Linked DNA regions of Schizosaccharomyces pombe. The gene in region 2 interacts genetically with the main gene of each other region. Each region holds a gene or a part of one and is shown on either strand. Other genes may lie near its edges.

Region 1 (6,202 bases), 1.3 Mb from region 2:
CATGCAGGCCTATCACTGACAACCCGCATCCAACGCTTAATATTTTTGTAAGGTTTCTGAGATAGGTAATCTCTTTGAGCAGCAAATATAGGAAAGCACATCTGCGGGTCCGCAGCGGTGAACTGTTCGCCTGCAAAGTATTCGTTCGATGCGAGGTGATTATCAATGTAGTCAAGGTTCAAAAATGTTTCTTTACTTAGATACTTGGATTTTATCCCATTCACAAACTGGCGAACAATATAACGAAAGAAAATGGGAGTCATGTTCACACTAAGATCCAAAACATGACTTGCCCAAATAAATGGCATAAGAGATGCTTCAGAAAAGTGCATCCATAATTCATATTTTTCCAATTCGGCAACATCCTCTTCTGAGGGTTTAAATGACGGTCCATACTTTCTGACCAGGTGCTCCAAAATGGCTGCACTTTCAATGTAAGTGACACCGTCATCGACAACGATAGGACTCTTGCCTAATGGTGACAACTTAGTATACGCTGGGGGAGCACGTCCGTCGACACGGTCATAAACTTTGATTTCATAAGGCACTTTGAGTTCTTCGAGCATCCATACAATTCGAGTAGAGCGAGAGTTCTTTAAGTGGTGTAAAACAATCATATCTGGTTACAAAAATAAAAACAAAATCAAATTGAATACTCAAAATAAATACTTTCTAAGATGCAATAATTTCGATCAAAGAAGGGAAGTATGTGGGAATTGGAATGTATATATGGGTGCTGCTGCGTCTACACCTCATATGCACGTCAGTCACCGAAATATATAGTGGCGTATGCAACAAATACGCAAAACACTTTATGTTTGCTTAAGAAAAAGATACAGTAGATATAGGAATGAAATAACATCTTCATTTGAATTGCTATCACTAGTCCGTCATGAGCCCGCTGTAAAGGTGCAGTACTAGATTTATATGAAAGACCAATTTTACTGTTGTAGTCAGTACATTTATACTAAAAGAGCAGCAGTTGGATTTACTTGGCATTCTGACTGACATATGAAAAGAAGTTCAGTGGTTGAATATCACAATACAGAAGCCATATTTTACATAAATTGGAGTTACGGTTTTTTCATAGTTAACAACGTATACTGCCTTGTAAAACGTGGTGTTAACAAAAAAGTTATAGTACTAAATTTGTATACCGAATATTCCAAAATAGTTCATAGACAAGCTATCTCAAACAGTTCAAACTGTTTCCAAAGACCAAGCAAGATATAATGATTAGTTTTTGATTCCAATAATATATGTTACTCGTTATAACACATAAAAGATATCTTGATTTTTCCTCAGCACTGCTGCAAAGGACGATTCTTATCTAAAACAGGACTTGAATTGACTTAAATCTAAAGCTGGGTTGTTTGCTGTTAATTTTGATGCTCAAAAATCCAAAATCTTTTTGTAAAAATGATATTGTTTTGCTTTAAAAACCATCAATTTTCACTCAAAAATCACTGATTAGCTAGCTAATGCCAACTCCCTTTCATGAGTACTCCATACTTATCGCACCAAGACTTTATAAGATCTAGCGAAACATTTAAATTTTTCCGCTTCAGCCAAAGTTGAAATTCTTCCACATCAATAGCAGAATACGTAAGAATTTTAATCCACACACTATTGTCTTTGGCTTGCTTAACAACTTGCGAAATTGCTCTATGAGTCTGTGTCACTATATCATCAAACTCCAATACTGTTTTAGTAGAAGTTATCAAATAATCATGGGGAGTTTCTTTGCCTAATTTTTTAGACTGAGATCGGCTATCGATTGCATCCAAACAAGATTCTACTATCTTAATGAGAGTTGCTTTCGAATCTGATGATTTGAAGCCATAACTTTCCGCTATAGCACGTAATTTTTCAACCGGAAAATTCTCCAACTTTTCTTTTAATGATTTAGCTTCATTATCAGCGTTTTTGTTAGTGTCCATGTAACCGGCATAGTTTAACAGGGTTCTGCTACGGTCATTAAATTCACATGAAGTAAACTCTTTAATATTGTCCGTTTTTTTTTTCTTATGTGTAGCACTATCGCCTTCAAGAAACGAGTTTGACTGACAAGTTGAGTCTATTGAATGACCGGCGCTTGGATGCCTTTGCTGAATTTCATCAACGGTGGAAACAGAAAAACAAACGTTTTCAGTAGAATTAGCCGATTCACAAAGTTCTTTTATAAGAGGACTCCTGTTGGCTTCAATTGATTTATTTCCTAACTTCTCTAAAGATTTTTCGAACAATTGAGGCTTCCTATGGTAATAAAAACCACTAGAAGATATTTCTTCCCTATTTGAGTGATATGCAGAGTGCTCGAAAGTATTTCTGCATGAAGCACTATTTTTAATTTTGCTGTATCTAGATAAAAGGACATCATTATCTTCAGCTACCCGAGTGTTAAGATCGGGTTCTAAGATATCTGATTCATTGTCGCTAAAGGAAGAAAAAAGAAGAGGGAGATTTTCAGTATCAAAATCTTCTTCATCCACAGCGTTTAAGTTGTGCTCATGAACCTTATGTCCCGTACAATTGTGATGCACAAGCTGTTGAGTAGACTCAAAATCACATTTAGAAGTTATCAGCCTAATTTCACAACATTCAGTAACAGATCTTTTTCGTTTACTATTACAATCTTTAGGGTTTTTGTTTAGCTCTGGCTCTATTGTTATCATGTCATCATCCTAAAGCTCAGTTAATATACATTTACTTCAGTTCAATGTAATATTTCTAATCATTTGCTATAGAATATCATATTTTTTTCATACGTCCGTGAATATATCAGGAGAAGATGATACCTCAATGTATTCTTCAGCCGACATCCATTTAATGAAACTTAGCTTGAAAGCAGCGTACTCAGAATCCTAAAACACCAAGAAAACGAAAGAATATCCCAAAAAATGATGAATATTTAATTTCGATTGTTTTGTTTTGTGTACTAGCCTGAATTTGTCGAAAGTTTTTCGTCCAGTTTCTTATTTTGGTTTAGACAAGTGGCAGCAAAACCAGAATATGCTTGATATTTTAACTCATCGTCTGATAAAAATAACTAAATGGTTTCACAAAAATGCGCAATACGAAAATGAAACAATATTTAGATAAAATCTTATTGATTGAAATGCAATGCTTCGTAAACAATACATAAATTAGAAAATTACAAAAGAGAGAAAAAAGTTAGGTAAAAAGTGTATGCAAAAGATTTATGATTTGAATCCCAATTTTTTTCCGAAAAGAGTTTTCATCTTTTTGGATTCTTTGATAGAGCTAGATGACGACTTGGCGTTTGATTGTTCACTTTTTGCTTTCTTCTTAAACAAATGTAAAATATCATTAGCAGCAGATTTAGACTTCTTTTTTGCTTCAGTAGCAATGTTGTGAGTTATAGTAACAGTTGACCTTGCAGGACTCAACGAAGGCTGCGTAATTCTTTTGGCAAGTTTGGTTGTAGTTGAAACTGGCTCAGAACGAGGAGGAGGAGGAGCTTCCTTTGGAGCCTCACCATCTTTTTCTAAGCAAAACTGAATCCAATTATCAAGGCCCGAATCGTATGCTGAATATTCTTGAATCTTTTGATTGAAAAAGTTGTAACGTTGATCGGTAGAACCTAATTCACCCAATCCATCGAACGACATCAATGGACTCTTGACAAACGCATCTAAGGTAGCAAAGTAATTTAAATTAGTTTCACTATTATCAGCCTTTTTGGAAATTCCAGAAGAAACAGCATCCGCTGAAGCACCGGAGTTAATGCTAGGAGAAGTGGTCGACTGCTGAGTTGAATTATTTTCAGCACTTTTAGAATGAGAAGATAAACCTGTCGTGCTTGTCTTTAGAGATAGTGTGTCTCGTTGATCCTCTTCCTGAACGACTATTTGCTTGTTGGGTTTTGGAGGTTCTGGCAAGGATCCACGGCTTAAGGCAGCAACTTCTAACTCATCTCTATTTAATGGTTCAGAGTGAGACTTATGTGTACTGGAATTACTGGATATTGAAACTGCATCGTGAGCAGCTACCACTTCGACCTTTGTAGTTGTCGTTTCTTCAATTGCGGGAGCCTTTGAGTTACTTGACTCAGTGTGAGAAGTAGTCGCTTCAACAATAGTTGGAAGACTAGTTTTATATGGATATACGTCTTGTTCTACAGAGGCTATTGTATGTTCATCGTCAGATGACCCCTTAGTCCAAAAAGGGTCTTCGGTATTCAACTTGGTAAGAGCTGGATCGGGCTCCTCCGAAAGATAACCATAGATACTTTCCAAGCTTTCTGAGTTTTTCAATAGTGCTCCTTCCTCTAGGGAGTTGTTAGAAACCAAAGAAGAGCGTGGAGATCCAACAACAGAAGCAGCTTGAGGTTCAATCCCTTGCTCGACAGAATTGGGTGATGTATCTCCTTTCACATCAACTTTTTCAAGGTTCGATTTTGAAATATGTTTCTCAGCATTGTCCTGAAGTAGATTGGAATTACTTTGAGTTTTTCCAACAAGGGTATATTTTGACGAATCGACAGGCAAATCGACAGCGCTGTCAGAAAAGCTATCAGGTATTGAATCGATAGAGCTGATAGCATCAAAATTTCGCAAAATACGACTATGAGTACCCGGTTGTTGGGAGAAAGAAGGATCGTTCGTAACTGTCTCAACCTCCGAATTGGTAGCATTATTTTGTTTAAGTGAACGAATTGTGGCTACCTCATCATCCACATCTGAATCTTGTAATCGTAGTTTAAGATTTTCTTCATCCAACTCACCTGAGGGCTGCTTACTAGGAGAATAAAGAAATGGTGAATTTACAGAAGTTATAGATGGATGATGCTCCGGTTTTGAGAGGTTTTCATCCTTCTCCTTTTCAGCATCGATTCCAAAATCGTTAGATAGTGAGTCCGAAAGTTCTTCCTCTGGGTTTTGCTGCGGAGACTCAACAAATGGAATAGACAAGCTATCAGTTGACTTAGTAGTTTGTAATTGCTTGACATGAGTGTCAATATCTGTTCGAGAAAGCTTTTCATCAGGACTAGGTATTTGTTCAAACTTCTCATTTGAATGATTCGAGTGTGAGCTTGTTATAGAATACGCATAACCCTTATTAATAATTTCGTCAGTTGGTTTCAAAATTGTATTAGTAGTCATGTTCGTATCTCCCTCCTCGACTTCTTGAACAACCTCAGATTGCTCAATTGCTTGTTCCGTAACAGGCTTTGAACTAGTTTCCAAAGTAGCTTTTTCACTCGTATTATCCAATTCATTGGCATCATCGTTAGCGGTAGAAACAATATCTTCTTTCACATTATTAGCAATTTCTACCGCCTCGGCAGAGTCCGGCAAAGTTTGCTCCATTAATTCGCTATCTAGTACTGCATGATCGTCATTAGGAGATTTCTTATCGTTCAACGAGGAAGATAGGTTACTAAGCGTGTCCCCAAAGAAGCTGGTATGCCTATGATTAGGTTCATATACGACGCTACGAGTTTTTGAACTTCTGGAAGAGGTAGCCCTGGAAAAATTGGAGCCACTACCAGTCTCTGCAACTGAAGCAAATGAGAATCGGTTCTTATTTGGAGCACGAGCAAATACGTTTGATTCATTGAGCTCTCTGACACTTGAAAAACTATCTCTACCCTTGATAGGAGGTAAAGACTCGGGTATTTCTTCAGCCTTTTTATACCTAGAGAAACTTAAAGGACGGATAGCAAGATCCTCTGCTGGACTTGAAACAGATCTCCTCTTTACATTTAACTCTCTTCGATTTTCCATTTGTCGAATATCCGAGACCCTATTATCATCTTGACTTTGAGGTTGAATGGCTGAAACTTGTGATGATTGAGATGAACGGGTGCTAGAAGATGCCATGGAAGATTTGTAATCAATCGGCTTAGAATTTGGATCTTTTCCTAATTTCTGTAAAAGAAATCTCCTCTTTTCGGCCCATAACCGTGCACTTTCATCAGCGGAGACAACCTTAGTAGCAAGCGTCTCATGGCTACTAGATGCTGCTTTTCGGTAAACAAAAGTGCCAGGGTATGAAAAGTCATAATTCTCGTTCTCACTTTGCTCGCTAAAGCTACTTGCCTCGTTTTCAATATCATCCTCTTCCTCCTCTTCTTCTATAATGCGATCGGTTCCGTCAGAATTTAATTCCCTTTCGGGATTCTTTCCGATATTCTCACTACTGGTGAGATTACTTTCCTTATCCTCACTCTCAGATT
Region 2 (6,641 bases):
ACAATAAATTGTTATCTTCTTCTGATCAGCTTGCTAAGAGCACAAAGCATGCTGCAAAAAACAGCCCTTCTAAAAAGAAGCGCAAAACAAGTGTTGCTACTGCTGAAGATGCTTCAACGGATAGTGTGAGTTCTAGTATTGCTATATCAGATGCAAGTTTGTCTTTGAGCCTGATGAAAGATTTACTTTCTCTACAAAAAAGAGAAGATTTGTATTTTGTAAGTATTTTTAAACTGTCGTGTTAAATTTTATTCCCTTTTCTTACTTTTCTAGTCTTCTAGAACTTTAGCATACGTATTTGGTGGTTGTATGCATTCATTAGAAACAATTGAAGGAGAGGAGGAAGGTGAATGTTTGTTTAATAACTTGAAAGCTCTAATATACAGTCCCGATCTATCTATGGATTCCTCCAATTATGTACAATCTGTCGTTCAAACATCATCGTCGATTTTAAATTATTCAATGAAAAAATTATTATATAATGCCTCCTTTGCTATAACATCTTTGTTTAATGCATTATTAATTTTGGACCCTAAATCATCCACCTTTATCTTTCAGGAAAATGTCGTTTCTTTAATAAGTGGTTTTCTTCTTAAGGAATACGAAAAAAGCAATTTTTTGGACTCAAAGTTTTACGTTTTAATAGATTTTCTTTATTTATACTTATCTATAGCACGTGAAAGTGCTGATGACTTTGCAAACATTACTAAAGCGGTTGATCCGTCGTTATTCGAATCCTGCATTCGAGTGCAAAATGCTCCTTCTTTGATTAAATGTGGTGTTTGTTTAATTATTAGTTCCACCACTCCTTCGTTTTGCGCTTCAGTTAACTTGTTAAATGCCGATGATAAATCCCAAGAATCACTCATGCAACTTTTCACAACTATGGCCCATATTTTAGTTGTTACTACTAGGGAAAGGATTAATTTTCCTGAATTGGTACGTTTACGAATTGTGCTTATAATCTTTGCATTGCTTATTTCTAACAAATTAGAATGAATGGATAACGCTTCATCGCTTTGTCATATCCTTTTTTACCGTGTTTATACAAATGTCTGGAAACATTGGTAAAGAGATTTTAAAAGTATGCAATCCCTTAATAGTATGCATCGGACTAGCCATCACTTGGTATCATCAGCAACTCCTTTCGTCAATGTACCCTCAAAATGAATGCGTAGAGATTTTAGTATCTCTTGTTCGGCTTCTGTACATTTTATCTTCCGAAGATTTATCATCAAAATTTATGTTAGCTGAAAATGCGTTACAACCTCGTTTCGTTTATGCAATAGCATGCTGCGCATTCGGCGATACTGAACAAAAAGCGTTTGGCAATTTGGGTGAGGAAATGTATTTTCTCACTACAGAATTGTTGGAAGTTTGCGTCTCTCCCGAAGAGCTGGAGCAGTTGTACACTAATTTTTAGATAATGAAACAGATGAATCTATTTCCCTAATTTTTCAAATGAAATAATGATACTTGTTTCTTCAGTGTTGTTCTTTCCCGTCCCGCACCCACATCCTCGCAAATTAAATACAAATCAATCTGTTTCCCCAAAGGAATGCGTACCACAAAAACATCCCCATTCCGTTCTTTTAGTAAAACTTACGGCTATATTTACCTGCAAATAAAATCATCTAGCAATTAACGAAAATGAATATATTAAAGTACCACTAACATAAAGAATCATCACTATGTAAATTCAATAAAATGCATTTGAAAGTTCAAATATCAAAACCGTTTTGATTCATAATAAAGAAAATCCGTCATAGAAGAGTTTCAAGAAAAACTGTAAACATTCATAACATAAAGAGAAAAATCCAATAATTCTCTTCACTAGAGTTTTTCTTCATTCTTTATCCATTGAATGCATATTTTTTTATTTTTTTTACAAAAAATATTTGCGTCTGATTTCCTTAAATGGGAGAATCCATTCCCAGGTTGATGTGAACAGCTTTTGTTTGAGTATAATTGGTAAGACCGTAAGAGCCCAATTCGCGACCGATGCCACTCTCCTTATAACCACCAAAGGGAATTTGGTGATGAAGTAAGTTATAACAATTCACCCAAACAGTACCGGCTTCAAGAGCATTGCTGACCTTGATGGCATTGGTAATATTGTTAGTGTGTACACCAGCAGCTAAACCATATGTACTGTTGTTACCGCGACGGATGGCCTCCTCGATGGTCTTGAATTTAATGACGGCAAGAACGGGTCCAAAAATTTCCTCCTTACCGACAGCCATGTCCTCGGTAACGTTGGAGAGAATAGTAGGTTCGACAAAGTAACCGAGATTACCATGACGCTTACCACCAATCTCTAATTTGGCACCATGAGCAATGCCACTCTCAATATAACTAACAATACGTTCATACTGTTGCTTACTAACTTGAGCACCTTGGAAGGTATCTTCGGCGAAAGGATCACCAACCTTCAAAGTCTTGGCCTTGGCAACCATGCGTTTAATGAACTCATCGTAAACATCCTCTTGCACGTAGACACGGCTACCTGCACAACAGACTTGACCAGAGTTGTAAAAGATACCATAGTTAGTCCAGACAGCAGCTGAGTCCAAATCGGCATCGTTGAAAACAATATTGGGAGACTTACCACCCAATTCAAGAGTGACCTTCTTCAGGTTGGAGGAGGCGGCAGCACGCATAACCATACGACCGACACCGGTAGAACCGGTAAAGGCCACCTTATCAATGTCCATGTGAGAACTAATAGCGTTACCACAACGGCGACCATCACCGCTGAGAACATTGATGACACCTGGAGGGAAGCCACATTCAGGAACAAACTTGGTAAGACACAGAGCGGAAAGAGGAGTGAGTTCGGCAGTCTTCAAAATAATAGTATTACCACAAGCGACGGCAGGAGCAATTTTCCAAGCGCACATCAAGAAAGGGAAATTCCAGGGGATGATTTGACCACATACACCAATGGGTTCGTGACGAGTATAGGCAAAACGCTTAATGTCGGTTTCAATGGTTTGACCATAATCCTTATCGGCCCAACCACCATAATAACGGAAACAATCGGCAGCAGCTTGAACGTCACCTCTAGCCAAAGTGATACTCTTACCATTGTCAAGAGTCTCAATAGAAGCGAGGTATTCCAAGTTTTGCTCGATACAGTCAGCGAGACGGGAGAGGCAACGTCCACGTTGAGCGCTGGAAAACTTGCGCCATGGAGCATCGGTCTGGAAAGCGGCACGAGCAACTTTCACGGCGATATCGACATCCTCTTCGTCGGCGTCAGCTACCTCACAAATAAGTTTCTCAGTAGAAGGAGAGTAAACCTTCACACGACCACCGTGAACGGAATCGACATGTTGGTTATTGATAAAGAGACCGACAGGTTGAATGTAAGTTTTTCCTGTAGGAACGGTAATTTCGACGTGATCAACGAGTTTTGTAGACATTTTGAAAAGTTTGTATTAAAAAATTGAGAAAAGGGGTCGTTGTCGTAAATGAGTAAGAGTAATTAAAAAATTAACTAGAAAAAAAAAAAAACCAAAGATAAAAAATGAAGTAGTGGGATAAATTTGGCAGAGCTGAATTGAAATGCAAACACAGGACAAAACCAAAAGATCAGTAATGAAATGGAAAATATGAGGTGTTAACGATTGTATAAAATAATTTTATATCAACCAAAGTAAACAACGTCGTCAAAAAGTTATGGGCGAAACCAAACTATAAGTAAAAGAGCACCTAATACGAAAAGATTAGATGGTCAGAAAAGGACCGGGGTAAATAAACAATGGCCTCTTATTATTCTTAAGAAGAGGGGGATGCAGTTTTTATAAAATGTGATAAAAACCGAAAGACGACAAAATCAATGAATTAAAACAATCAATTGTCGTTGTTAGTAATAATACCACAAAGGAAACCTATATCAATTTGGATGTAGGAAGTGAAGGAAAGACTATAGATAGAGGAATATACTAATAAGAGAATAGCAAGCGTGTTGTAGAAACGAAAAGACCGTGCTGTTCTACTTATTTCAGTGAACTGCAAAGGGGGGCGAATTCAATATTTATAGTAAAAATCATATATGACTTATACGATGATTAGTAAACAAAGCTCCAACTCCTACTGATTAATGGTGACACAAAAGACCGACACCTGGACGAATGATTTCCTATACATGATCTAATTCAAACAACGACGAATGACAAAACAGGACACCTTACCCCATGATGTCAATGCTTAATTTTGGCGAATCAAAGGAAGAGACACCCTCAAAAATCACAAGATTTCATATGTGCTAGCGTACGCAAAGCTTCCCTCCCAAATCTCACTGTGCAATAGTAATATGCTTTAGAGGGAATTGCATACTCGGAAATACAATTCACTATATCGAAAATTTGATATTAACAAACGAGGAACGATGAAAGACGAACGACGTTGAAACTCCGATGCCAGCCAACCTAGTCTAGTCTAGTAGCAAAAAGCAAAGCAACTTCTAGCGCCATCTGCATAGTGCGCTTTCGCTTCTTAAATTTTCTTCCTTCTCTTATTTCCCAAAGAATGCGATGCGCTGAGAAAATGGGAGCACCTTGGGCTAATCTAGTCAAAATGGGTCATTTTCGCAGGAAACCCCATGTTCTTTCGCTCTCCGAAAATCCCAAACTCGCTTTTCATTTGCTTTGCTCAACTTGTTGGTTTTGTTAGCTTCGACCCACTGGTAACTGTTAGTATTCTCTGCTTTATGGCGAATTCCCTTCTCACACGTTCCTGCCCCATCAACACGAGAAGTTCGGCCCTGGGCCCTTTGAATTTTCCCTACCAAAACATCTCTTATCATGGTACGTTACGTGCGGCATTTAACGTGGATAAATGAATGGAAAGCATAAACGTAGATAAGCCATTACGTTGAATAACCAAGCATAAACGTTGATACACAAACAAAAGTGGGATTTCATACATATGCATAACAAAAGAAACTTTAATCTTCTGATAGCGTTTGTTTAGTTTGGTTTGTTGACCCGCACGTCCACTACGGCCGCGAGGAGTTGGGCTCTTTTCGTACGACCTCAAAATAAGGTTTATTACGTCAATGTGCCGTAATTACTTTAATGCATGCGAAGCGAATCATGGCCAAGCGATGAGAGTAAAAAAATGGGAAACAGAGTTTATCGAGCGGTTGGTTAAACCATTATTCTGTATTTAGGAATTGGTAATAGTAGCAAACGCTTGTGTAAACAGATATACCCGAGACACTAAAATTCGCCACCTACGCTGACATCTTAGACATTAGCTACGCCAGTTTCCGCCCAGTACTTTGAAAGTCGCAAAGTGGGGGATTTCGATCCTTATGGGGGTAGGGTGAGCGTTAAGACTAGGAAAGGGTGGGATGGAGGGGACTGGTGAAGACTTGGACTGGGGTTCACGTGTGTGGGAGATTTTGGTCTATGTGGGGGATTGACTGGATTGGTAGTTGTAAAACAAAAACACAACGGTTGTAATGTAGTAGTAGTAGTAGCAGTATAATGTGTTTCAAAGTTGGTCTTGATTGATGAATGTGAGTCGATTTTATGCCAACGTGTCTTTTTTTTTTGTTTTCACTTAACGAACCAGAGTTCCATTTGTTACTAAAGAAAAATAAAATATAAAAAAATAAAATAAAATTCTATTTCTTGAGTGTTTGTCCCTACTACTCTTTATTACATTTCTTTGATATTCCCATCGCTTGCATCCTAATTAGCAACCTCTTTAGCATCATAAATATAATACTACTACTTTCTATGAGCCAGTATTTTGGTCGACCTATTGCTGCTACTGCAAAAGTATCCTTTCTGCGTCTTTTTAAAATTTTCAACATGCGAAGCTTTCTCTTGACACTGTTGTGTTAAGGTTCGTTAAGCGGTTCGCACTTTGACCACCTTCGGACATTTGTCTTCGTTTATAGTCCATGTGATTAGTGCATAACCTGCTATGGTATAAAGCATGCAACAAAGGAAAATGAAAGAAAGTATTGAATATGCGAAATGCGACGCTGATTAAGGAAGACTAGAATGAATTAAAAAATTTTTCTTGATATTGCTTTAGAAAATCTTTTTCGTTTCCATTTGTTGTTCTTTTTTTTGCATACATTTTTTTTTTCGGTGGCATTCATTTTATTCTTTTCGGTTTGTTTACCTAATCAAATTTTACTATTTGGAAGTGCTTCATCCACATTTTCAAGAGCTAATAAAATTTTTTTTTTTGCTTTCTTATTTCCCTTTTTTTATTTTTATTTTATTTCAATTATTAACTCTTCTCTTTTTTCCCTCTATCTGTTTCTTCTAACTAATCATCTTTGCTCTACATTCAAATCACTCAGTAATTTGTTCGCAAACATCGCAACTAAATTTGGAAATGAAATTCAAACTATTTTACTCATGGTCGCAGTGCCAATTTCCATTGTGCAACTTGTCAAGATAGCGAAGATCACTGAAATTTGTAAATTCAAACACATAAAACGCAAAACCGTGAGAACTATACACTCTTCCAATGTTTTAATTTTTTTGTTTCTCCAATTTACTTTTTTAATAACCCATATTATTACTCATCACATTATTGTATTGTTGTTTTAAGCATGCCATTTTTTCGTACTGGAGCGCGTTAAAGATCTGATAAGCAAAACTTTCAAGATT
Region 3 (9,276 bases), 3.0 Mb from region 2:
TGCTTACAATATTGTACATAGAAAAATTAATGATACATATGTATCTTCTGCAGATTTATACATATTCAGCATATTCGCTTTCGTTAATATTAATATAATTTTCGCGCACAAAACGCTGGGGCTTTTTGAGTTATCAACAATACCACTATATCAACGAGGTTATTGTTGCCGGTAAAAATGTTTTTGTAGTTTCTACTATGTGTTCTTATATTTTGTATTTAGGCTATTGGGGATAATTGCTCATCCGTCTACTGTTTATACGCAACAGCCGCAGATATTTTTTATTTATTTAATTTTTAATTATTACCCTGACCCGATAATTAACCTTGTTAACTGACATTATCTTCAACCCCTGAATAATAATTCATTTGCCGTTGACTTAGAACATACTAAATTTATTTATTTCTTTTTTTATTTATCAAAAAATACTGTTAATCCAAGCTTTTGCGCAATCAGCAACTACTTTTTTGCAATCTTATTTATTTAATATTTGCATTAAAATTGTGTAAGAAAAACAAAACAAAATTATCAACTTTTTATATACATACATATTTTATATTGATCTAACGCATAAAAAAAGACACGCAAAAGAAAAAAGATTTATTTATGAAATTCTATTGAATAACTGGATTCAATATTTCACATATTTTTTTATTTACTTACAACAAGGAACAAATATCGAGATCCAACGTGATATTCTACCTGGTATCTTAATAATAGTTTGGCTGTTGTAATGTGGTTTAATACACTAATATAAAATAAAGAGGGTTGCTTAGCACTCAATAATGCAAAAGATCTTATACGTACTTAGTTATAGAATTTTCTTTTCACCATTTTCATAGCATTTTCATATATAATAAAAAAACAAAATGGCGACTACGGCGCAAAAAATAAAAGAAGTTGAAGATGAAATGGCCAAAACCCAAAAAAATAAAGCTACGGCTAAGCACTTGGGAATGTTAAAGGCCAAGCTTGCAAAATTGAAACGTGAATTGATCACCCCTACCGGTGGAGGAGGTGGTGGAGGGCGTATGTACTGAACGTCAAATTTTTGTTTGGAGTACTAATCTTTCTTAGTTGGTTTCGATGTTGCTCGTACCGGTATTGGTACTGTAGGTTTCATTGGATTTCCCTCCGTCGGTAAAAGTACACTCATGACTCAGCTTACAGGAACGAGAAGTGAAGCCGCTGCATATGAATTTACAACTTTAACAACGGTTCCGGGTGTTTTGCAATACAATGGTGCAAAAATTCAAATTTTGGATTTGCCTGGTATTATCGAGGGTGCCAAAGATGGTCGTGGTCGTGGTAAACAAGTTATTACTGTTGCACGTACTTGCAACCTTATATTTATTGTTTTGGATGTATTGAAACCAATGTCTCATAAGCGTATTATTGAAGAGGAATTGGAAGGATTTGGTATAAGATTAAATAAGGAACCCCCCAACATTGTATTCAAAAAGAAAGAACGTGGTGGTATCAATATCACCAATACTGTCCCCTTGACTCATATTGATTTGGACGAAATTCGTGCTGTTTGCAGCGAATATCGTGTTAACTCTGCTGACATTGCTTTTCGTTGTGATGCCACCATTGATGATTTGATTGATGTCTTGGAAGGAAATCGCGTTTATATCCCGGCACTTTACGTGTTAAATAAAATTGATTCAATTTCTATTGAAGAACTTGATTTGATTGATCGTATTCCTAACGCCGTACCCATTTGTGGTAACAGGGGTTGGAACATTGACGAACTTAAAGAAACGATGTGGGACTATTTGAATTTGGTTAGAGTCTATACACGCCCTAGAGGTCTTGAACCTGATTACAGCGAACCTGTTATCCTTCGTACTGGCCATTCTACTGTCGAGGATTTTGTAAGTTTTCGAATTGCTTCTGCCGATCTTCGTGTTGCTAACTTCTTTAGTGTAACAATATTCATTCAAGTATCAAATCCCAGTTTAAACATGCTTATGTTTGGGGAAAAAGCGTTCCTTATCCTGGCATGCGTGTTGGTTTATCTCATGTACTGTTGGATGAGGATGTAGTGACGATTGTCAAAAAATAAGTCTTTTTTCCTAACATCTTACTTTCCTTGGTTTCCCAGTATTGGAATATATAGGCCTGAAAACTTATTTAACTGGTTACTCTAATAGGTGGGTTACAATGACTTAAAATTTTAGATGGTAATTTATTTCGTTATTTGTTCAAATTGTTTTTTCTTTAAAGTAAAAGTTTTCGTGTATTATAAGCTTAATGAATGATTGTGTAGAGTGTTTTGTGACATATGTCTTCCTTCAATTACTTTTTAATATCAAATTTGCAAACGCAACTTATGAAACGCTACTCACTTTGCTGAAAGAACCGATCATTAAATAAATCATTTCTGAGTATAGTACGGGAACTTTTAAAGGTTAAAGTTGAAAATTTTAGAAGAATGAGTCTCCAATTAGAGAAAAATTTGATTCTTGAACTTATTCCTCATTTTTACAGTCTTGGATGGATGAAATTTGGCAGGTAGCGTTCAAGACGTTTAATGTTCAGTAATTTTTTAAAGCTAATTGGTATTTAGTGGAAACTTTTGTCTAAAGAACAAGTAATTGTACGGTATTCAAACGATTTTGTTAACATTTAGTGGTTATGCAATTTGCGTTAAGGACAGGGTTCAAAGAGACTTCATAACGGAAAACGATATCGTGACCTTTAATTTAAGGTAAATTATTCATTTGGATCAGCTCCAATTAGTATCTAACCTTTTATACAGCAATCAGTCAGTCACCAAGGATTTAGTCAATTGGGCCTACATTTTCTCATGGGTTTTGAGGTATGCATCATTTTTTCTATTTACAGCAATTTTTAACACATCAAAAGTAATATGGATGCAGTAGCCTGTATATATTCTACTTCAGTCGCTGCAGTCGGAGCATCGATGTATAATGAGAAATTTACTACACAATCTAAGGAAATGATCAAAGGAATTCCAAAGGGAAATCCTTCAGCAGGCTATCTTTGCTGTTTTGATACTCTAGAGGTTCCTAGTAAGTTGTGTTTTCTGTTGGTGTTGACTGGTATCTGAATACTGATTATGTAGTTATCCACAATGGCGATAGTAAAACAATATTAGATGAACTAAAAAAAGTCATCGAGCTTTATCCACAAACATGTGCTGTTCTTATTCGTGGACATGGGGTTATCGGTTGGGGAGCAACATGGGAAAAATCAAAAACTCAAATGGAATGCTACGAATATCTTTTTGAGTTAGACTACAAATTGAAAACGTTGTAGGCTATTTCTAAACACTATTTAATTCTCTAAATCAGCATTCCTTTCATACGTTTCCTTTTCTCTACGAGTTGCTGAAGGCGTTGTTGTCGGTCGTCAAATGGTTTTGTCTTGGATGCTTCTTCATTCCTTGAAGATATAGAAATATTTACATCCGGGAGGTCTTCCTCTAAATTATTGTTGTTGTCATAAAACAGTGTAGACTTGTCGTAAGAAAATGAATTATGTTGTCCTTTCCTTTTCAAAGTTGTCATCCTGTATGTTAATAATCTGTAATTATCGTTAAACAACTCAATAGTTTAAACACTTACGGATTTGGGTGTAAAGGTTGTCTAAAGTCATGCATCTTTGGCTGTTTTGTGTCACGATCCGTCGAGTTGATATTTGATACTTGGAATTGGTTGTTTATTTCTCTTCTCCACTCCTGAGCCTTTTGCGAATCTATAGTATTTAAATGCTTTAAAAATGAATGTATACTTTTCGTAGCTAGAGAATGCGGTATCCGTCCTGTAACACTCAATTGAGATAACCTCCTATTTCTATGAATATCCAAACCTCTTAAGCAAACACGCTTATATTTTTCCAGTTTCTTTTCTTGTTCAATGCTATATGTAACGGGACATATCTCGAACGGTGATTCTTCAGACTTGGCTAAAGCACGTTTCGGTTTACCTAAAGCGGACGCAGTAATAAATCCATTCAAGGCATTTTCTGGCATGAAAAATTTCTTTTTTATTTTCGTTCTCAATTGCACTTTCTTTGGAGCTACTACAACTTCTTCATTTTCTTTGGGAATTTCTATGACTCGTTTATCACAAACCGGGCGAAACTTTTCTGGTAAAATTCTATAACTTTTTTCCGATAGGCTGAGACCGCGACCACTGACAATATTATCTTGCAAAGTTCGATAAGCGTCTTTGGCTCTCTCCCATTTTGCTTCTTCTTTGCCTCGCGTCAAAAGCATATAAATATAACCTTTCCTTTTTCTCCCAGTTCTGCCCATTCTTTGTAACATCCTTATAGGAGAAGCAGATGCATCGTAACATATGATCATGTCTACTTCACCTATGTCCAAACCCTCTTCTCCAATAGAGGTAGCTATTAAAGTATTGACTTCACCTTTTTGAAATTGTTTCACAGTCTAGAGATTAGTTAGTTAAGGATCCATCATTTTCAGATTACATACTTCATTCTGTAATTTTTGAGACATTCCAGCAGCCTTTCTCACAGCAGATTGTCCAATAAAAATAGCTGGTCTCACATTTGGATAAAATTTACCCAAAAATCGTAAAATCTCTTCGGCGCTAGAGCGGATTTCAACAAAAATCATAATTCTGGTATCCTTGGTTTGTTCTTTTTCAAAATATTCTGTAACAATACGTTCCAAATGCTCTAGTTTGGGATGTCCGACAAAAGACTGATCTCGCAACAAAATTTCTATATCGTCCATTAAAGGACGATAATTTTCGTGATTTATTATGCGTTTCTTATAACCTGATCTTCCTACAAAGCATTCTTCTTCTACCTCTCGCAATTTTTGATAAAACGGTCGGATACCATGGTTGAGTAACAAATTTAAAGGATAGGCAAAAGTCGCTAATGCATCAAAAGTATTTAAAATATCCCATTTTTGATTAGCAGGAAAGTTTTGACCAGACATTGCAAGAAAAGCTTGTTTAGCTTGAACCACAGTGAAAGAAGTTATGTCTTTAGCATTCTGAATTCGATAATAATTACCCTTGTTCAATTTTTGAAGCATAGGTTCCAATATAGAAGAAAATCGATCTCTTATATCTGTAATCTCTGCAGACAAATCTACAGGAAAAAAATCCACCTCTTTCTTCTGAACGTATTGCGATATATCAATGCTGTTTTCAGTTCTAATCTCAATCCTGGATATATGAAGAGAATCAATTACATTCTGAATTGCTTCTAACTTATTTCCGGGGGTAGCACTAAGAGCCAGTATACGGAAATTTTTGTTGCTAAGAGAAAGTAGATGAACAACTTCCACATAAGCGTAATTTCCAGTACTACGATGTGCTTCATCAATTACTAAACAAGATATACGAGTCCGATCGCAAATTCCATGCTTGATGTCGTTTAAAATGGTTTGAGGAGTTACGAAGAAAACATTTCGACTTTGATAATACTGATTTCGAGTTGTAACAGGAACGTGTCCACTTAATTCAGCAGTTTGACTCTTTGGAATTCCAGTGATTTTATAGCAAGCTTCCATTTGTTGTGTAACCAATGGTTTAGTAGGAGCCATGAAAACAATGTAACTTTTTGGAAACCAACGAAGATAATTCATCATCACAACGGCTGCAATAAATGTTTTACCTAAACCTGTTGGCAAAGCTACAAGTACATTTTCAAATAAAGCTTTTTGGACAATATTAAACTGATAATCTCGAAAGGAGACGTTTATAGGGTATACCCATTGCTGTGCTGCACTTTCATCTAACTCGTGTTGTAGACGATATCTATTGGAATCGTTGGCATCAAAATATTCATCAACTGAGTATCCATTTAAACCTATCGTGTTATTATGATATTCATTCTCAATTTTATCAACTACTTGGGTGTCCAATTCGTCCCAGTCTTCATCACTACTAAAAGAATCATCGGACATCCTTATCAATGATTTATATTGTTAGCAAAAATTTAGCTGGAATTACTTAAAAACGAATTTTGCTAAGGTACTTCGTTTCGTCAGTCGTCAAATACAACAATTCCATAAGACATTCACTGCAAAGCGTCCTTTATTGTCGGAAGTAATTGTAAAGGACAAGTTTTTTCCCTCAAATGGTTTAAGATACAATTAACTTCATGAGAAAGTAATGAAGTTAATTATGTTTAAAATTACATTGCCAATGTGTATATTCCATGTCTTTTCAGTAACGATTTGTTATAACGAATTATTGCGCGGGTGTAGTATTGTATTAGGGAAGCACCTAATAACCGATATAGAATTCGTATATCATCATAATGGTTTTTGTATATATTCACTATAAGTCGCTCTCTATACGATAAACAAATAACAAGCATAGCCGAACAAATCCTATCAGAAAGACATGTAATGGCTCTTAGATTAAAGAAAATGATTAGCTAGATGAAGTAAAACGAGTTGAAAAGTGTCCGTACATAGACTAATGTTGCTAGAATTCAGGACTTTCTGATGTTTGTACCTTCAAAATTGGACTTTGTTTGTGGTAACATATCACACATCAAGTGAGTAAAAAAACACTCATTTATCGAATAATAGCCATAATCTTTAATCTATCACATAATTTGAAATTTCCTCTTCGAAGAGTTCCTTTGGAAATTCCATAAAGCCATTTAACGTATTTTAAATTTACTGATTCACTAAGTATAAATTAAAGAATTTAAGCACTGCATTAAGTGAAATAGTGATTTTGTTCAAAGGTCATACTTCTATGAAATTGTAAGCTACGCAGTTTGGTATCTGATTTAAGGATACGTAGAACTGCGGTGAGTTTTCCTTGTGATCTATTATATTACAATACACAGGTTGTATAAGTAGCAACTGAGTATAGGTATTGTATTAACTGGGTTATAATGTTACCTATCACTAATATAGCTCATAACTGAACTGAGGAACGAGGTTCAGCAGTAGCTCTATTTATAGTATTCAGATAATATTGATCTTAATAGATTATCATTAAGATCAATCTCCATATCGTATCATACATGGTACGATATATAATTAGAACATGTGACATATAGTGATACTCAACGTAGTGTATTATAGCGTAGTGTAGTATTGCTGACATTGCCCTCCCCAAGATTTTCTATGTAAATCTGAGGATAAGTCATATGTTCTCAGATATTTAGATTATTGTTTTTAATATAATCATTGACAATTGCTTTGTCCGCTTGTAGCGCTGTAGCTAATGTAGTCCATCCTGACATAATAGTACTCGGATTTAGATTCGAAATGTACTTGACATTTAAGTAGAGTACTTGTTCTCTGTTTTTATGTTCTAGGATATGAAGAATTGTTCCAATATCAGACTCATCAATGGTAGCGTAATTGAGTTCTGAATTATGTCGATACTTTTCTAGGTGAGAAACATGAAAAGTAGATGAAAACATGTGCTTGATTGAATCTGGAAGATCCAATTCATAGTTGTTTGGACCCGACTTCTGTAACACATAGAACGGTCCTGCAAAACTAGGTGCTAATTTATTGGATTTATGAAGAAAACCTGTTTTCGTTCTTTTGACCATAACTAGGTCTCCAGGTTGAAATTCTTCAATTTCTTGTATTTTCATATCGAAATACTTTTTCATCTTTATGTTGTTTGTATTCAAGTGTTCTTTAACTGTTTGAAATACTTGGATCGTTTCCTGAGAGTTTTCGTCAGTTTTGTCACTAAAGCTAGGTAACTCTAAAGGTGATAAAGCTGGTGAATAGCGATGTACTATCTCAAAAGGTGTCATTTGAGTTGCTGAATGTATCGCATTGTTGTAAGATTGTTGCACTAGGGATATATGATCTACCCATGTATTTGGATGTGTGCTACATACACATCTTAGTAATTTCTCCACAGTTTGGTTTGTACGCTCAGTTTGTCCATCAGTTTGTGGTCTGTATGGTAACGAAAATTTCATAACGAAATTATATTTATGTGCGAAATCTTTCCACGTTTGGGAAGTAAAAATATGATCATTATCTGCAATGATTTCTTTTGGATTGCCGAAATAAGCAATAACTCGTTGATCAAACATTCGAGCTGTTTGCTCTGCTGTAATGGATTTCGTACAAGGTACTAAGATTGCCATTTTTGAAAATCGGTCAACTACCACGAAAAGTGCATTATAACCAGATGATTCTGGTAAAGCTGTAATAAAATCCATTGATAAAGATTCCCAAGGTCTTTCTGATGGGGGAATTGGTTGTAAAGGTCCATAAGGTTTATGATTCCTAGATTTGTTTATTTGACATGTATGGCAGTTCTGTACATATTCTTGTATTTGTTTTCTTATTCCTTTCCACGTAAATCTACGTAATATAATGTTTGTAAGAAGTTCAATGCCTGGATGAATCAATTTACCTTCTTCATGATACTTTTTAATAATTGTCCTAGTCAGCTGAGTATCATTAGGTAATAAGATTTGGTCTTTACTGTTAATTAGTAAGCCATCTTTGAGTTGGATATTCTCTTCCACTCGTTTGTCTTCATTGTTTAGTAAATTCAACAATTTTGTATCATTCGTATATTCTGTAACCACTTGGTTTTTAAAATCATCGGTTATCGAGATTTGATTAACAAAGTTGATACTATTGTCTTCTGAATCTTTTGGAATTGGTTCTGTTTCGTCAACAATTCTGGATAAGGCATCAGCTATGTGATTTGCTGATCCAGGTCTGTAGTTAATTTCAAAGTTGAAGTCTTGTAAAAATAATTGCCAACGAGCTAAACGTTTGTTTTCAGGCTCGGATTCGTTAGTAATGCGACCAATTAAGTTTCGATGGTCTGTTAAAATTTTGAAAGGTTCGATAGTGGATTCTAAATAGTGTCTCCAATGTTTGAGAGACTTAATGATTGCAAGCATTTCTTTGTCCGATACGCTATAATTTAATTGTGCTTTAGACATCTTTGCTGAATAGTATCCAACAGGATAGTATTTATCATCATCATGTTTTTGAGACAATACGGCTCCTACAGCGACATCTGAAGCATCAGTTTCCAGTAGAATCTTTTTACTGAAATCAAAGTGTCGTAGCACCGGAGGAGAAACTAAACATTGTTTAATGTTTTCTATCGCTTGGGTTTGTGTTGGTGTCCATTTCCAGCGTACATCCTTTTTCAAAAGATTATTGAGTGGATGTGTTAATTGTGATGTCTTTGGAATGAATTTCCTAAGATAATTGACAGAACCTAGAAATTGTCGTAATTCTTTACGATTCTTAGGTTGCTTCCATTGTAAGACTTTGTCTATATTTTCTTGACAAGGCGTAAATCC

Evidence for each region.
Region 1: mutations in atd1 (region 2) and slx4 impair growth when combined (synthetic growth defect), as found in Schizosaccharomyces pombe (2 studies listed by BioGRID, with this or other methods).
Region 3: mutations in atd1 (region 2) and fml1 impair growth when combined (synthetic growth defect), as found in Schizosaccharomyces pombe (one study listed by BioGRID).

Annotation. Positions count from the first base shown.
Region 1 is NC_003424.3:3,116,179-3,122,380, forward strand, and holds slx4 (structure-specific endonuclease subunit Slx4), read right to left. Parts: upstream 2,996-6,202; 5' UTR 2,823-2,995; coding exon 2,769-2,822; exon of another isoform or gene 2,685-2,768; coding exon 1,479-2,684; 3' UTR 702-1,478; downstream 1-701. Other genes in the region: glutathione S-transferase Gst3, read right to left, coding at 1-617; protein Rng10, read right to left, coding at 3,201-6,202. UniProt on the Schizosaccharomyces pombe protein: Regulatory subunit of the slx1-slx4 structure-specific endonuclease that resolves DNA secondary structures generated during DNA repair and recombination.
Region 2 is NC_003424.3:4,451,647-4,458,287, forward strand, and holds atd1 (aldehyde dehydrogenase), read right to left. Parts: upstream 4,012-6,641; 5' UTR 3,426-4,011; coding exon 1,914-3,425; 3' UTR 1,634-1,913; downstream 1-1,633. Other genes in the region: ATR checkpoint kinase regulatory subunit Rad26, read left to right, coding at 1-218, 274-939, 995-1,423.
Region 3 is NC_003424.3:1,467,701-1,476,976, reverse strand, and holds fml1 (ATP-dependent 3' to 5' DNA helicase), read right to left. Parts: upstream 6,144-9,276; 5' UTR 5,918-6,143; coding exon 4,469-5,917; intron 4,424-4,468; coding exon 3,594-4,423; exon of another isoform or gene 3,538-3,593; coding exon 3,312-3,537; 3' UTR 3,286-3,311; coding exon of another isoform or gene 3,092-3,285; 3' UTR 3,039-3,091; coding exon of another isoform or gene 2,872-3,038; 3' UTR 2,825-2,871; coding exon of another isoform or gene 2,765-2,824; 3' UTR 2,714-2,764; coding exon of another isoform or gene 2,636-2,713; 3' UTR 2,597-2,635; coding exon of another isoform or gene 2,573-2,596; 3' UTR 2,518-2,572; coding exon of another isoform or gene 2,438-2,517; 3' UTR 2,069-2,437; coding exon of another isoform or gene 1,928-2,068; 3' UTR 1,878-1,927; coding exon of another isoform or gene 1,078-1,877; 3' UTR 1,030-1,077; coding exon of another isoform or gene 870-1,029; 3' UTR 702-869; downstream 1-701. Other genes in the region: SPOM_SPAC9.07C (GTPase Rbg1), read left to right, coding at 870-1,029, 1,078-1,877, 1,928-2,068; SPOM_SPAC9.06C (5'-methylthioribulose-1-phosphate dehydratase), read left to right, coding at 2,438-2,517, 2,573-2,596, 2,636-2,713, 2,765-2,824, 2,872-3,038, 3,092-3,285; Tf2-1 (retrotransposable element/transposon Tf2-type), read right to left, coding at 7,129-9,276. UniProt on the Schizosaccharomyces pombe protein: ATP-dependent DNA helicase involved in DNA damage repair by homologous recombination and in genome maintenance. Capable of unwinding D-loops. Plays a role in limiting crossover recombination during mitotic DNA double-strand break (DSB) repair.